Linked DNA regions of Drosophila melanogaster. The protein of the gene in region 1 interacts with the protein of each later gene in a pairwise test. Each region holds a gene or a part of one and is shown on either strand. Other genes may lie near its edges. The genes, in order: CG3792, CG10252 and ari-2.

Region 1 (3,566 bases):
AACTACGTATGTTTAATGTCAGGCGACATCGACGAGATTGCCATCAAGAAGTGCAAGGAGGCAGCGCGTCAGGTGAATGGACCCGTGCTGGTGGAGGACACTAGTCTGTGCTTCAATGCGCTGGAGGGCTTGCCGGGTCCGTACATCAAATGGTTCCTGGAGAAGCTGCAGCCGGAGGGGTTACACCGTCTGCTCCATGGTTGGGAGAACAAAAGCGCTCAGGCTATTTGCACCTTTGGCTACTGCGACGGTGTGGATGCCGAGCCTCTAATCTTTAAGGGCATCACCGAGGGCGTTATCGTCGAACCTCGCGGCCCCCGGGACTTTGGATGGTGAGTCACTTGCGTAAGAAGTCTGATAAAATGGCTCTTGCTTATTAAATTCTCTATCATTGCCGCAGGGATCCGGTTTTCCAGCCCAGTGGCTACGATAAGACCTACGCCGAACTGCCCAAGTCCGAGAAGAACACCATTTCCCATCGCTACCGCGCTTTAGCTCTACTGCGGCAGCACTTCGAGAAACAGGACAAGTTAATAAACTAGGACTCAATTTAATTTAATTATTCAATTCAATTATTTAAACATCGCATATTTGTTCTACATTGTCGAGAAGTTGTTGCAACCTATGTTTCGAGTTCAAATCTCTCTATGTATATCTGTTTCTACTTTTGTTACTTCTATCCGCACTGCTTAGTCATCCTTCTTGGTCTTCGGCTTCTTGGCCTTTGAATCCTTCACCTTGACGCCAGCGGGTTTGTTCCAGTAGTAGATCAGCTGGCCCAGAATAACCGAATTGGCAAAGGTAGAGGCAATGAAAGTGAGGATGATCATAAAGTCACCAGTCTCCTGGATGGAGGTGAAGATGCGGGCCACCGATCCTGCAAACATCATGATCACAGTGGCGGCTGACAACTGACCAGTGGATCCAGCCTGGTAGTTGGTATACGCCTGAGACAGCTTGCCCACCAGCAGGATGGGAATGTTGCAGCTCTGGATGGTGAACAGCACCGACATGGGCGTTAGCCCCGAATTGAGAACATACATCAGCACGACATATCCCACTAGAAAGAGTCCCGACTGCGCCTTGCGCCCGTTGAAGAACAAGACCAAGACGGCGATTGTGACGGTCTGGATGGCCAGGAAGGTACTGTCGCCCCAGGCACTAAACGGATAGCCATGCATAAAGTTGTACGACAGGTGGAAGGAGATGGCCAGCAAGTCCAACACTACGCCCACAATGTTGATGCCCTCGCCAGACTTGCTGTTAAGGATCTTCAGCACTTGTGGTACTTTGACCAGCACGGAACCTGCGATAATTGCCAATCCCAAGCCCTTGCTCAGCAAAGCCTTGAAGCACGGAACTACGAGAAATGTTAATTGATACTTAATAGGCACATACCTTTTTGAATTAGCAGCCACTCACCATCTAAAAAGTTGTGATAGAGGAAGTAGTTATCATAGCACTTCTCGCTCATAAGGAACAGAGCACCCTGCCTGATAAGATCCGTCATTTTTGTGCTGCGAACAATTGACTTCTGTTTATCTCGGAGGTCGTGGTCGTACTTAATTAGTAAGCGGCGCTGGTTTCACTATGCACCGGTGTTATCAAGCTGGCCGGCCGGTCGCTCCGAGAATGAAATTGAAAGCCGCCGTTTACGCACACGTAATGCGGGTTCCGCCGAAGAAGATATTGATGCCCGGTGGCGAATCGGCTTGGGAGTGGAGGAGGAATGATAAGATAGGTGGTTGTGCCAACGTTATGTTATTTTCGTCCGGCTTTCGCTGAAAGGTATGCGCTAAAAATCGCTACGTGGGTTTTCCTGCTACTCAACACTGCCACAAAGTGGAACAAAATCGAAAAAAAGTGCAACATTGGCAGTAAAGTAAATAAAGTGTTATTCAACCAGATTTGGTTTTAATTTTAAATTTGCGCTGAATTCTTATTTAAAATGTTATTCCATACATAATTTGTTTTTTGTGATAAAATATTTACTTTTTGCTTATTGAAAATAATTTAGGCTGTCTTAAATAGATTGCCCCACTGTCCCGTACAAGTGCTTCGATTGCGATGTATCGATAACCAATCGATTATTTATTCACCTCTACCTGAGTGCTGTAGACAAAAGTTTGTTTATTATCCGGGCTGCGTCGGCGTGAAAATTAAAACTAGCGTCAGTAAATGCTAAATACCCGGCTAATTGCTATGTCGACTTCCGATGGGGCCCCGGAAACCAAGAAGCAACGTCCTGAAAGCAGCAGCAACGGCAGCAAGGACCAAAACGGAACGGAAGCCGGCGCCGAAGGCGACTCCCGTGATAAAGTGGCGCTGATAACAGGCATAACGGGCCAGGTGTGTAATTGATGAATTAGTCACGGCTGTTTCAGGGGCATCTCCTTCATTCCGTGCTTACGTGTTCAAAGTGCTCGATTCTTACTTGTTCCCTATCGCCCAGGATGGCTCCTATTTGGCAGAGTTTCTGCTCAAGAAGGACTACGAGGTGCACGGCATTATTCGGCGGGCCAGCACCTTCAACACCACCCGCATTGAGCATCTATATGCCGATCCAAAGGCGCACAAAGGTGGGCGTATGAAGCTCCACTATGGCGACATGACGGACAGCAGCAGCCTGGTGAAGATCATCAATATGGTGAAGCCCACGGAGATTTACAATTTGGCAGCACAATCCCATGTCAAGGTCTCCTTCGATCTCAGTGAGTACACGGCCGAGGTGGACGCCGTGGGCACGTTGCGCATTCTGGACGCCATCCGCACTTGTGGCATGGAAAAGAACGTGAGGTTTTACCAAGCCTCCACTTCGGAGCTATATGGTAAAGTGGTGGAGACGCCACAGAACGAACAGACGCCCTTCTATCCCAGGTCGCCATATGGTAAGGCAGCAGCTTCGATAATGTATGCTAAAAGTAATACTTAATCCCACCTAACTTTAGCCTGCGCTAAGATGTACGGCTTTTGGATCGTCATCAACTACCGGGAAGCCTACAACATGTACGCCTGTAATGGAATCCTCTTCAACCATGAAAGTCCACGACGTGGCGAGAACTTTGTGACTAGAAAAATCACCCGTAGCGTGGCCAAGATTTATCACAAGCAAATGGAGTATTTTGAACTGGGCAATCTCGACTCAAAGCGCGACTGGGGACATGCCAGCGACTACGTGGAGGCCATGTGGATGATGCTGCAGCGGGAGTCTCCTTCCGACTACGTCATAGCTACAGGCGAAACGCACAGTGTGCGCGAATTCGTGGAAGCCGCGTTCAAGCATATTGATCGAGAGATAACGTGGAAGGGCAAGGGTGTGGACGAGGTGGGAGTGGAGAACGGCACGGGTATTGTGCGCGTCCGCATAAATCCAAAGTATTTTCGGCCGACGGAGGTCGATCTGCTGCAAGGCGACGCGTCCAAAGCCAATCGAGAGCTAAACTGGACGCCTAAAGTTACCTTCGTGGAATTGGTTAGCGACATGATGAAGGCTGACATCGAATTAATGAGGAAAAATCCAATCGCTTAAGGCCTACCTGGCTTCCAGCTCGGACTGGGATCATTTA
Region 2 (3,428 bases), on another chromosome or scaffold:
TGGGAACATGGACGGCAAGAACTTTGCCGTGGCGAATGCTCGGTGAATATATTTCTTCTCCCTTTATTGGCCACTAATTATTACAAATTCCTATAATATGCCCGACGAGCCACTGACACACAAACACACATCTAATTTACGGACACTGGAGCAAACTATAAATTTGCTTGGACAATTTCGCCAACTTCTTTCGAAAAACTATAAATAAAACAGGCAAAATCTACAAACAAAACGAGAAACTTTGATAAAAAGAATTTTGTGACTGAAAAATACCGGAGTTAGATAAAATCAATGGTTCCGAGTTCCAGTGCCTTTAAGCGAGCACTCGAACCATTATCTTGATAACAGCGCTCTGTTAAGAGAAAACAACGGTTGAAACAAGATGAGCATTTGCCCGCGAAATTGAAATGGGATAGTCTAAATACAAATTCAGTTACTCTCAATTCCGTAAAATAGTAACGCGTGTTGTTGTCTGCCTAAAAACTCACCGTTACGTTGATATAATAATGTAAATGTAAATGTGCTTTTTCCAAAAATTTCTATTATCAAATGTTAATTTGACACATCGTTCAGGGACTACTTGTATTTTAGACATGTACAGAGCCAAGTGTATCACATCATAGGCGCACTAGCATCAAAATGCTCCCTTCCTTTTCCAATAAAGGTAACGCTCATTGCGTTCTACCAAGTTAAAACAAATTCAATCTCATTTTAATACCCCGTTAAGCATTTTCCATAAACAATGAAACTTGGTTTAAAAAGAATTGTTTATTCACAAAAATTTTAGCATATATTTCTTCCAATATTGCACTTGGTCTACATATTGTCACATCTAACTATCATAGGCGGAGCGAACTGGTGGTGGCGCACACCAAAGGAGTAGCCCGGTCCACTCTTGCCAGGACGATAGTACATGAGGTCGTAGTAGTTGGGTCCAGGTCCGACATTCTCGCCCGGAATAGTGGTGCGCGGCTGCATCGAGTATATCGGAGCACGTGTCAGTTTGACATTGATATCACCACCGCCATATGCAGCCGGACCCGGAGAATTCGTCTTGTTCAAAATCTTTGTTTGTAGTCCCCTGAGATACAGGTACAAATAAAAATAGGCAACTTAGTAAAGGAATAACTATGGTAGGATTGAAATACGCACATGCTATAGCTCGGGACTCCAGGACGAACGGCATTGACCTCGTACTTGTAGGCATTGGGACCGGGACCATCCTTCTTGAAGTTAAAGTCCGTTCGTAGGCCCATCGAATACGAAGGAGCATTAACCCCCTTAAAGAATGGCCTATTATGAACATCGTGTGCTCCCGGACCGGGACTGCTTCGCTTATCTACGATTAAGCAATTTAACCAAAAACGTTCTTGTCTTCAGTACTAATAAGTTATCTTACCGATGACATTGGTTCTGGGCGCCATCGAGAACTCCAAACCCTTGCTCGTGCCATAGCGAGTCAACTTGTCCACCTTGTAGGCCCCTGGACCAGGACCCAGATCCTCACCAGGAGCACGGGTGCGCATGCCGAAAGAGTACTGCGGCAACCGCTGTTTGCGGTTGTCATGCTTATCATAGCCCACAGTGGGGGGCAGCATGTAAACGCCGGGTCCAGGGCCTACAAAAAGCATGTATAATATATTATTTACCACATTACAATTTTATGAATTCTCACTCACCAAAAGGTCGCACCGCCATTTTTGTTAGTTTTGTGCAATATTAGAAAGAAAATCTATTTTGAAAATTTAGAACCCAATATTAGGTGTTGGCCGAACAGATTCCAGTAGCAGAATGAGGCTTTCATAGAACTTCACATCGCAGCTCCATTCGAAGTCAGAGCCATAGCACACTTGTTATAGAAAAGTTTTACCACCGTAATTCCTTCACACATAACCCATTCAAATATTAATTACGTAATTCTTTTTATTCCGAAAATTTGATCATAATAACCTAAGTTACTTCAAGACATGGCAAAGTGATTTTAATAATAGGAGATTCGAATTTTATCGGAAAAATAAATTGTTTACGAAAATCAGCTCCAGATATATTGCTTTATTGAGCCAAAGGAACGCCTTATTTGCACACTCAAGGTTGTTTGCTATTTTGCTGGACAACTGGGCAGTACAGCTTATTCCACATCCATGGAGTTGTAAAGTTGTTTATACCTAGATCCCCGCCCGCTGCTTTGGAGCAGCATATCATTATGCTGTTCCCTAAGGGCCTGTTAAAAAAAAAAACACATATAAATAGTGACGGCTTAATCGAAAAATATAAAAAATGTTGATACCTTTGGATCGTATTTCTGATGCAAGTAGACCAATATTGGGCCATAAATCATATTGAAAATGCCGACAATGCGCATCAGCCAAGCAAATCCAAAGGTCTGGGCCAACTCCCCGCCAATCAGGGGAGCTATAAAGATGATAAAAATACACTTTTTTTTTTAGAAAAAAAAAAAAAACAATATCCACTTACCTAAGCAATAAGCCAGACTGACAGAGGTCTGCTGGATAGCATAGACTGTTCCGTAGCTGGACATGGAACTGCTGCCCTCACCCTGATCCTCCTGAGCCAGTGTTGCATCCACAAAGGTGGCCAAGAGTGGAACCAATGCGGCATCGATTACTCCAATACCCAGTCCCAAGGCAAAATGGGGCAGCAATAGTTGGGCCACCGTTGTAGCACTGGGTATCTGCAAAGTAAATAATATATTTGCAATATATTTCCAATTCAGGTTTTATAAAAGCAGGGCTCTCACCAGAATAGAGGCTACTCCCACCAGCAACAAACTGATACAGGACACCTTAACCTGACCATATTTGTAGGCAATGCTGCCGAAGAAGTTCGTGCCCACAAAGTAGCCCACAGAGTCTGGAATGAAAACGGTGCCCAGCTGCCACTTGTTAGGCTTTAGATACTGGATTAGCCAGATGGGCAGACAGGGCTCCAGCATGGCCATTGTTGAGGTTGAAAACCAAATGGCCAGCACAATGGCCAGGATCATTTTGCATTCGAGCAGCGATCGCCACTTGGGTCTATCCTCCACCACAACCTCCGGTTGCACCGTCAGATCCATGGTCAGGAGCTGGAGGCCCAAACTTAGGAACATCAGAGTGGAGAGAATGATAAAAGGCGCCGATTTGCCCATTAGGTCATACAGAATTCCACCGAATGGATAGCCCAGCAGCACACCCAATGCGATGCTGCCCAGGATGATGCCCATCACCTTGGAACGACGTGCCTCCTCCGGATAATGCTGGGCCACCAGGCTCATGCCGCATATGTTGATGCAAGCGGATCCCACGCCCTGCACAGCCCGGGCCACCAGGAGAGCCCAGTAGGATTCACCAACGGTGAAAACTGAAAGGTAAGTTTGGAGAAAGTTGGATATATCGTTTTACGCATTAATAAAATATAGAAATATAATA
Region 3 (6,707 bases), on another chromosome or scaffold:
TTATCCTGGACAATAACACCATAGTAGGTCGGTGCTTCCCGATGAAATTCCAGCTGAGACGCACAAAAAAGAATTGCCTGGACTGCGGAAATGAACTTTACTACCGGTATCCCATCACAAACAACAGCGACCTGCTGCTGATCAAGAACTGCTGCGAAGTGGAGGTCTATCCCGCCAAGAAAGTGGAAAATATGAACAACGTGAGGGTGACCAAGATATCGGGAGTCAAGAAGTTCGCCAACAGTCTGCTGAAGGAGCATTCCGAGTGCCGGTTGTTCACCTTAGCCAGCCAACTTGCGAAGCAGAAACCACCTTTGGCGCCTGATGTTAGGATGAGTCGGATGAGCAGGAAGAGCCGGAAGAGCCGAAAGAGCCGGAAGAGCAGCAGAAAGAGTTCACTGTTCGGCAATAAAAAGGGTAAAAAATAATAGCAAAAACATCATCGAAGACTAACTAAGCACATCCAATCTGAATAACAACGAAATCAAGGAAGATAAGTTGGAATATAGCTCGTACTCAATCACTAAAAAAAATAAACTCGGCTCAAAACCCAAACTTGAAACTTGAGTGAAAGCTTATCCTTAAAACACTCAATCCAAGCTTCGTATGAGCTTCTCCAAAGCTTTAAGCACAAGACCCAAATCGTAAGCTTGCAGCCCACAGTCGAAAAGTCAGTTGAATAGTTGTATATCTAGTGTAAATTTAATTCAAATTCAGTCGCATAAGCATACATACATAGCGTAATCCTAGAATATAATTTATGATTCAGCTTACAAAGTTAATCGAGAATCGAGTGAGAATCAAAAGGAACGGGATCGGGGACGGGGAGTATCTATCTTCGTTCTTACTTAAGACTTTTGCGTTCGATTGATGTGCTGCGATTAGTTACGAGATACAGATTGCGAATACTTGATGCTGTTCACGCGGGGCTAATACAAGGTTTAAAACTTAGGGTCTAACCGATGAGCCGATCTGCTTAGGCGGTCTTTGATCTATAATTGCTTGACTTGCGGCGCTATACATTTAGAATTGTTACTGTTTCTGCATTTCATCGGGTCGTTTGGGCTAGTTTTTGGAAAACTGTTGGAACACTTGGCCACTGAAATGCGTCTGGTTTGTCAGTTAGTCAGTTGCTAGATTTAAAGTTAGTTTTATAGTTATGGTATAGCTACCGGTATCGGTATCGCTAGGGCTTTAGCTATAGATACTGTATATCGTTAACGTTCTGCGCAAGGCGTTGTATTGCAGTTACACCGATCATTTTGAGTGATTTCGAATGTCACAACTATAGTAATTATACTTCGAGTAGTCGACTATGCTCTATGCTACGTTTTCTAGTCTATATGCACTTGATTATTAGTTTAATTTAAAAATTAGCTACACGTCGTTGGGCCTACTACTAGATGGATACATGTAAATATGTGTATAATTTAATTTAAATAAGCGTCTCTATACTGTCGCGTCACGTCGACCTGTCAGCAGTCAATCAAAGAGTGTTTGTGCTAAACAAGACAGGCTGTCCGTTCTGGTGGCCCTGGAAGCTCGACGGTTGCCTATGCGTCCACTGGGAAGAAGTCTTTCAGTAGCGTGGTGCGGCGCTTTTCAGCGATGTCCATTTGATTCTCGAGATCACCCAGGTCCGTTGTCTCGGCGCGCTCTATCTTCCACGACAGATTCTCGATTTCGGCCTCCAGTTGTGCCTGCACGGAATTAATACATTATTGGGCAACCAGTTAAAGAATAGCCGAACTGCGACTCACCTGCTGGTACTCAAAGAGATTCTTTCGCGAACCGGCCTCCATGTAATAGGCGTACGGATAGGTGTACTGCAGCGTGTATCGACACTTGGCCAGCAGTGCCGCCGCGTTGAAGAGGTATTGCCAGTCGATCCAGGTGCCGCTGCCGTTCATCACCTTCGAGTTGATCCGCTGGCGCAGCCGGTCGATCGTCTGTTGCTCGAGTTTCAGAGACTTGGAGTGGTTCTCCCAGCGCTCGTAGTAGTGCAGGTACTTCTTCAGCGCCTCGCGCGCCTGCACGTGCACCGACTCGTTGGCAATGTTGGGGTTGTCCTTGTAGCGAGAGCACTCGTAGTACTCGGAGCCGTGCGTCTTCCAGTCGCCCAAGCACATCCAGCAGAAGTCGTGCTTGCAGTTGAAGCACTGCATGTGGTTGCAGCCGCCGTTCTTCTCAATGCAGATGTGACACTTGGGGCAGTCTTTGGTGTGGGCGCTGATGTAGTTTGCCGTTTCGCTGTCGTCGGCGCACTTGGTCAGCCACTTCTTGATCACCTGGCAGTCGGTGGGTGCGTGGTAGTCCATGCCGCACCGGAAGCAGAAGCCCGTGTGGCAAGCCTTGCAAATGGCACGTTTGGCGGAGATCTCCGATGATTGCACAATAATCTGGCAGTTGGGCCCGGGACAGAAGCGGAGTTCCGGGTGTGACTTGACGTAGTCCTTAAATGCAAACTGCTGGTACTTGTCCCGCATAACGGGTCGCGTGACCAGCGTCAGCACCAAGTCCTCGGGCACCCTAACATTACACATCTGGGCCATGCAGCCGATCTGCGTGGAGATTCCCTGGAAGATCTGCGTCTCGAAGTATATGGTCCAGCAGTCCTTGCAAAACGAGTGCCCACACGCCAGGCTGTAGAACTTGTCGCCCAGCTGCGAGCTGGCACAAACGGGACACATCTGGCTGCGGTACTGTGGTGTCGCCGATGCCGTCGTCTTGTACCCGCTGCTCCCCAGTCGGAGCAGTTGGGCACTGGCCGCCGCTGCACTCGTCGAAGCCGTATCCGTCACTGCCACCGATGGCGGCTTGATTCGCGCCGTCACCAGCAGTGCATTGGCGTCCTGGCGGTACTTTTCAACGACGGCCACATTGTTCCACTGGTGCTCCAGCAGCAGCACCTTGGCCAGCGAGGGTGTGATCTGCAGGATGGTGTTCAGCTTCTCCACGCGCTCGTTCAGCAGCTTCTCGATGTCCTCGACGGTTAGGCACTCGTACTCAAAGTACTCCGGGTCGGCCCGCTTCGGATCCAGACGCTCCACATCGCAGTCCTCGCCTGAAGAAGAAAAGGATATTAGTATTATAATATAATTGAACTTTATAACATTTATAAATCATAAATCTATTATGCTTTGATAGGACAGTTTCCACTTTTTCTTTTGGTTATTTAAGCTAACTGATTGTATTTTAAACCAAAATCAGACTGAAAGACAGCAAGGGTGGATTTCAAACGAACCCTGAGTTAGCAGTTGCAGTTATATACAATAGGGCACTTTTAATCCCTTATTGTACAAAACTGGTTCCAGAGTTACGAAGGTTGAGTTGAGTTTGTAAGTTAAGCAATGGCTGACTTACATTGATCGGTTGAAACCGACGAAACATTATTACTTTGGGAATATCTTCTATGTTAATCTGACATGTATGGATCAAAAGGGATTACAGTGTATGCAGCCGGTAATCATGTTTGCATTTTGTTAGTCACATTGGCTAATTCGAGAAAACAACCGCGCGACAAGGCTGCCATAGAAGTGCTCGACGTTACGATGTTACCGATATGAGGTATCCGATTGAAGGTTGAGTTAGGGGGCGTCTTGGCCAGGTCGGAACAATAAGGGACAGGTCAAGAAGCGGAGACCGAGTTGACGGAACAGCGGCACACAACAGAATGCAACTGCGTACTTGAGCACGCACCTGAGCTGGTGTTCGTGGTGTGTGTGTTAATGTGTGCTTGTGTGGGTTGTGGAGCTACGAAGAGCGTGAGCAGAGTGGCGGGCAATAATGAAGCCAGCCACAAAACACAAGCCTCGCAATCAGTCCCAACTCGCAACTACCAATTGTACTTGCCCATGCACTGAGAGAAATCAAGTCTTTAGTAATATTCTTATATTATTTTGCCCCTTTTAAATCAATATTGATTTGAGTTCATGTTATAAAACCATTTGAAAATCAAGCCCTATCACATAATTCTCTAAATTGAGGTATCAAATCATCATTAGAATTGCTTTGGGAAATGTACCAAATGTAATCATTTAGTTTGGCCTAGATTTGACATTTTAAAACTAAACATTTATCCTATTACACAGTGCAATTTTCTCGCCGTGCAGCTACGTGCGTGTGTGTTTGTTTCAAGTTCAATTCCATAATTTAAGCTTCATGGTCAGCGAAGAAGGGCGGAGATCAAATGGGGGGTGTGGGGTTTGGTCATGGAACCCAAGGCGAATGTCAAGTGCTGAATGCAAATTCCCAGGTCTTGCGGGCCTCCTTCCGAAAAGGTGAATAACCAAACCAAGAGCCCGACATGTGTGTGTGTACTTCCTCACAGATACACTCGTACCCCTAATTTGGCCACAGTTAAATCGATGGCCGATTGTTGTCAGGGGGAAGTGCCCCTCTAGATCAGGTACTAGTTTCCACTTACCTGTGTTGTAGTAGTCGTAGTCGTCGTCGTACTCCCCGTCGTTGTCCGATTCCATATCCATTTCGATGTCCGAGTCCATTCCGGCGGATTGGCGCTTAAGATTTGGGCCTCAGATTCGGGATGTTTGGTTGGGAATTCGAGTTTCTGGCGAGGACACTCACTGCTTCCGTGTGAGTGTGAGTGCGGGGTGTCTTCTCTCTTGCTCTTTTGTAACAGTTGTTGTAAGGGCGCTGGTGGTTGCTGTTGTTGTTTTCGCAGGAGGTGGATGATGGACCCAGAGAGCGGGAGGGGCGGTGGATGCGGATAATGGAAAGTGGCCGATTTAGCGCGATGCAGTGCCACCGATTCTGGTTAGGGTGATGAACTTTGCGGGGTGGCTATTCTACGGCGGGGGGCGGTCCCTTGTTTTATTTTCGTTTATCAACATGCATGTGTACACACACACACGAGCGCACTCTCGCTCTCACGCACACACACTCGCACAGCCGTTGCACTCAACTCAAGGTGTTTTTTCTACTTCGCCTGCAGTTTATTTTCATTTTTCGCTATTTATAGAACAATCTTATGCACCACTGACAATGCACTAGATGCACTGACTTTTTGCGTTTTTAAGCGAGCACAGCTTTTGCAGAGAACATTTTGTTCTTTGTCTTGTCCGAACCTATCGGGGCATATCGTTCTTCGATAGTTCGATGTTTTATTACTCTTCTTCTTTCAGTGCGACCACGAAGCAATCAAATCAAATACCAAAAATATACCAACAACATGTATTTTTTTATTATCACATTAATTCAACTTTTTCTTCGCGATTATTGATGCAAAACTATTAGTTTCAACAGAAAACTGGCAATTTGCTTTACTATTTTAGATTACAAATTTTAAAACTAAAAATTTACAAATATACTGGTAGCACTGACTCGCGACTTGTGCTAAAAGCCAAAATACCGAAATCATTTAGCACACAGGAGTGCTCAGAAACAAAACAGCTGTTCAGCTTTTGAGCGGCTTAGTTTGAATTTTGAATATGATCTAAATTACTTTTTGGTCAGCTGGGTATGTTTTTTGGATATGGAAATCGCTTTTCTTGCCCGACATCACCTAGATGCATAAATACTCCCCAAAAGAAGCAAGACCGGAGAGAAAAGCATCTGGAACAAGTTTCATTTTCTTCTCATCTCCCTCTTTTTTAATTTTCTCGGCTTTTTCGATCGCTCCGTTATCGCAGCCCACCAATAATGATTGGAAACCACATATACTTGCAAATAAAATGTCTGATTTAAGCCTAAAGGAAAGAGGATAAAGTATGATCCTCAATAAAAGTAATCATTGAACTTACGAGTTTCCAATGACAAGCGTCTTTTCGGGCTTTATTTCGCCAGACTTCATCAACTTGCCCAAAATCCGCTGATTCGGTTTGCCCAAAACGATAGGCTTGCGTTGTACAATTATCTCGATGGCAGAGGCCAGAGATCCGGCATCTGGGATCCTCTTTTTCCCAAATGGCTGGAATCCATCAATGCAAGTGGTAAGGAACAAGACTTTGGGATTTTGAAGATAGTTGCAGGCCACAAGCAACTCGTTCGCTATCATGTTGTCGTCTCTGGCCACCAAAACAGCTCCCACATCCGGATCGAGAACTAAGCTCCTGACGAAGTCGATTTTTTTCTGGTCATTTGGCTGCAGATCGTTTACCACGGAACAGAATCCGGCCTCTTTCAGATCTTTGCGGATACCGTCACCACCCAAAACGAGGATTTTCTTCTTAAACTTCCGGTCGCTAAGGTAACTCGCAATGGCACCCGACGAGCTGAAAATGTCCTGCTCCTTGACATTGAAGCCCAGGCACTTGGCCTTCTGGAACAGATCCTTGTTTGTTAGGCAGCACTCGTTGGTGGCTATGAGACATCGCTTTCCCTTTGAAATTATGGCATTGAATGCCTCTACAGAGCCCTCAATGGGGGTATTCTCCTGCCACAGCACCCCATCCGTGCTGCAAATAATGGTGTCGATCCCGGCCAGCCATTCGGCCACCTTTGCCTTCGGCAGCTTGTCCAGATGGCTTAGACTGCGCCTTAACATAATACAATTTTGATTAAATTTAGAATGTGAAATATTAAAATTTTGAGTACTTTATGACATTATTTTCAAAGATTAAAAATTTCATATTGCCATATAAGAGTATCATAAAATAGCAAGGAATACGAAAAAGTTTATTTGGCAAAAGTAAAGTGATACTATATAAAAATGTTTTCTTTCTAATAAAATCTTCGGCCACGAGATG

Evidence for each region.
Region 2: the proteins of CG3792 (region 1) and CG10252 interact in a two-hybrid assay, tested with the Drosophila melanogaster proteins (one large-scale study listed by BioGRID).
Region 3: the proteins of CG3792 (region 1) and ari-2 interact in a two-hybrid assay, tested with the Drosophila melanogaster proteins (one large-scale study listed by BioGRID).

Annotation. Positions count from the first base shown.
Region 1 is NT_033779.5:4,975,542-4,979,107, reverse strand, and holds CG3792 (uncharacterized protein), read right to left. Parts: upstream 1,797-3,566; 5' UTR 1,511-1,796; coding exon 1,423-1,510; intron 1,361-1,422; coding exon 690-1,360; 3' UTR 543-689; downstream 1-542. Other genes in the region: CG8891 (uncharacterized protein), read left to right, coding at 23-332, 401-542; Gmd (GDP-mannose 4,6-dehydratase), read left to right, coding at 2,179-2,349, 2,453-2,888, 2,949-3,529.
Region 2 is NT_033777.3:23,694,465-23,697,892, forward strand, and holds CG10252 (uncharacterized protein), read right to left. Parts: upstream 1,782-3,428; 5' UTR 1,699-1,781; coding exon 1,680-1,698; intron 1,619-1,679; coding exon 1,400-1,618; intron 1,340-1,399; coding exon 1,153-1,339; intron 1,082-1,152; coding exon 817-1,081; 3' UTR 757-816; downstream 1-756. Other genes in the region: prt (portabella), read right to left, coding at 2,129-2,221, 2,288-2,412, 2,476-2,692, 2,759-3,360.
Region 3 is NT_033778.4:22,211,239-22,217,945, reverse strand, and holds ari-2 (ariadne 2), read right to left. Parts: upstream 5,112-6,707; 5' UTR 4,506-5,111; coding exon 4,427-4,505; intron 3,065-4,426; coding exon 1,761-3,064; intron 1,701-1,760; coding exon 1,554-1,700; 3' UTR 682-1,553; downstream 1-681. Other genes in the region: CG30278 (uncharacterized protein), read left to right, coding at 1-428; CG11291 (uncharacterized protein), read right to left, coding at 5,525-5,708, 5,763-6,505.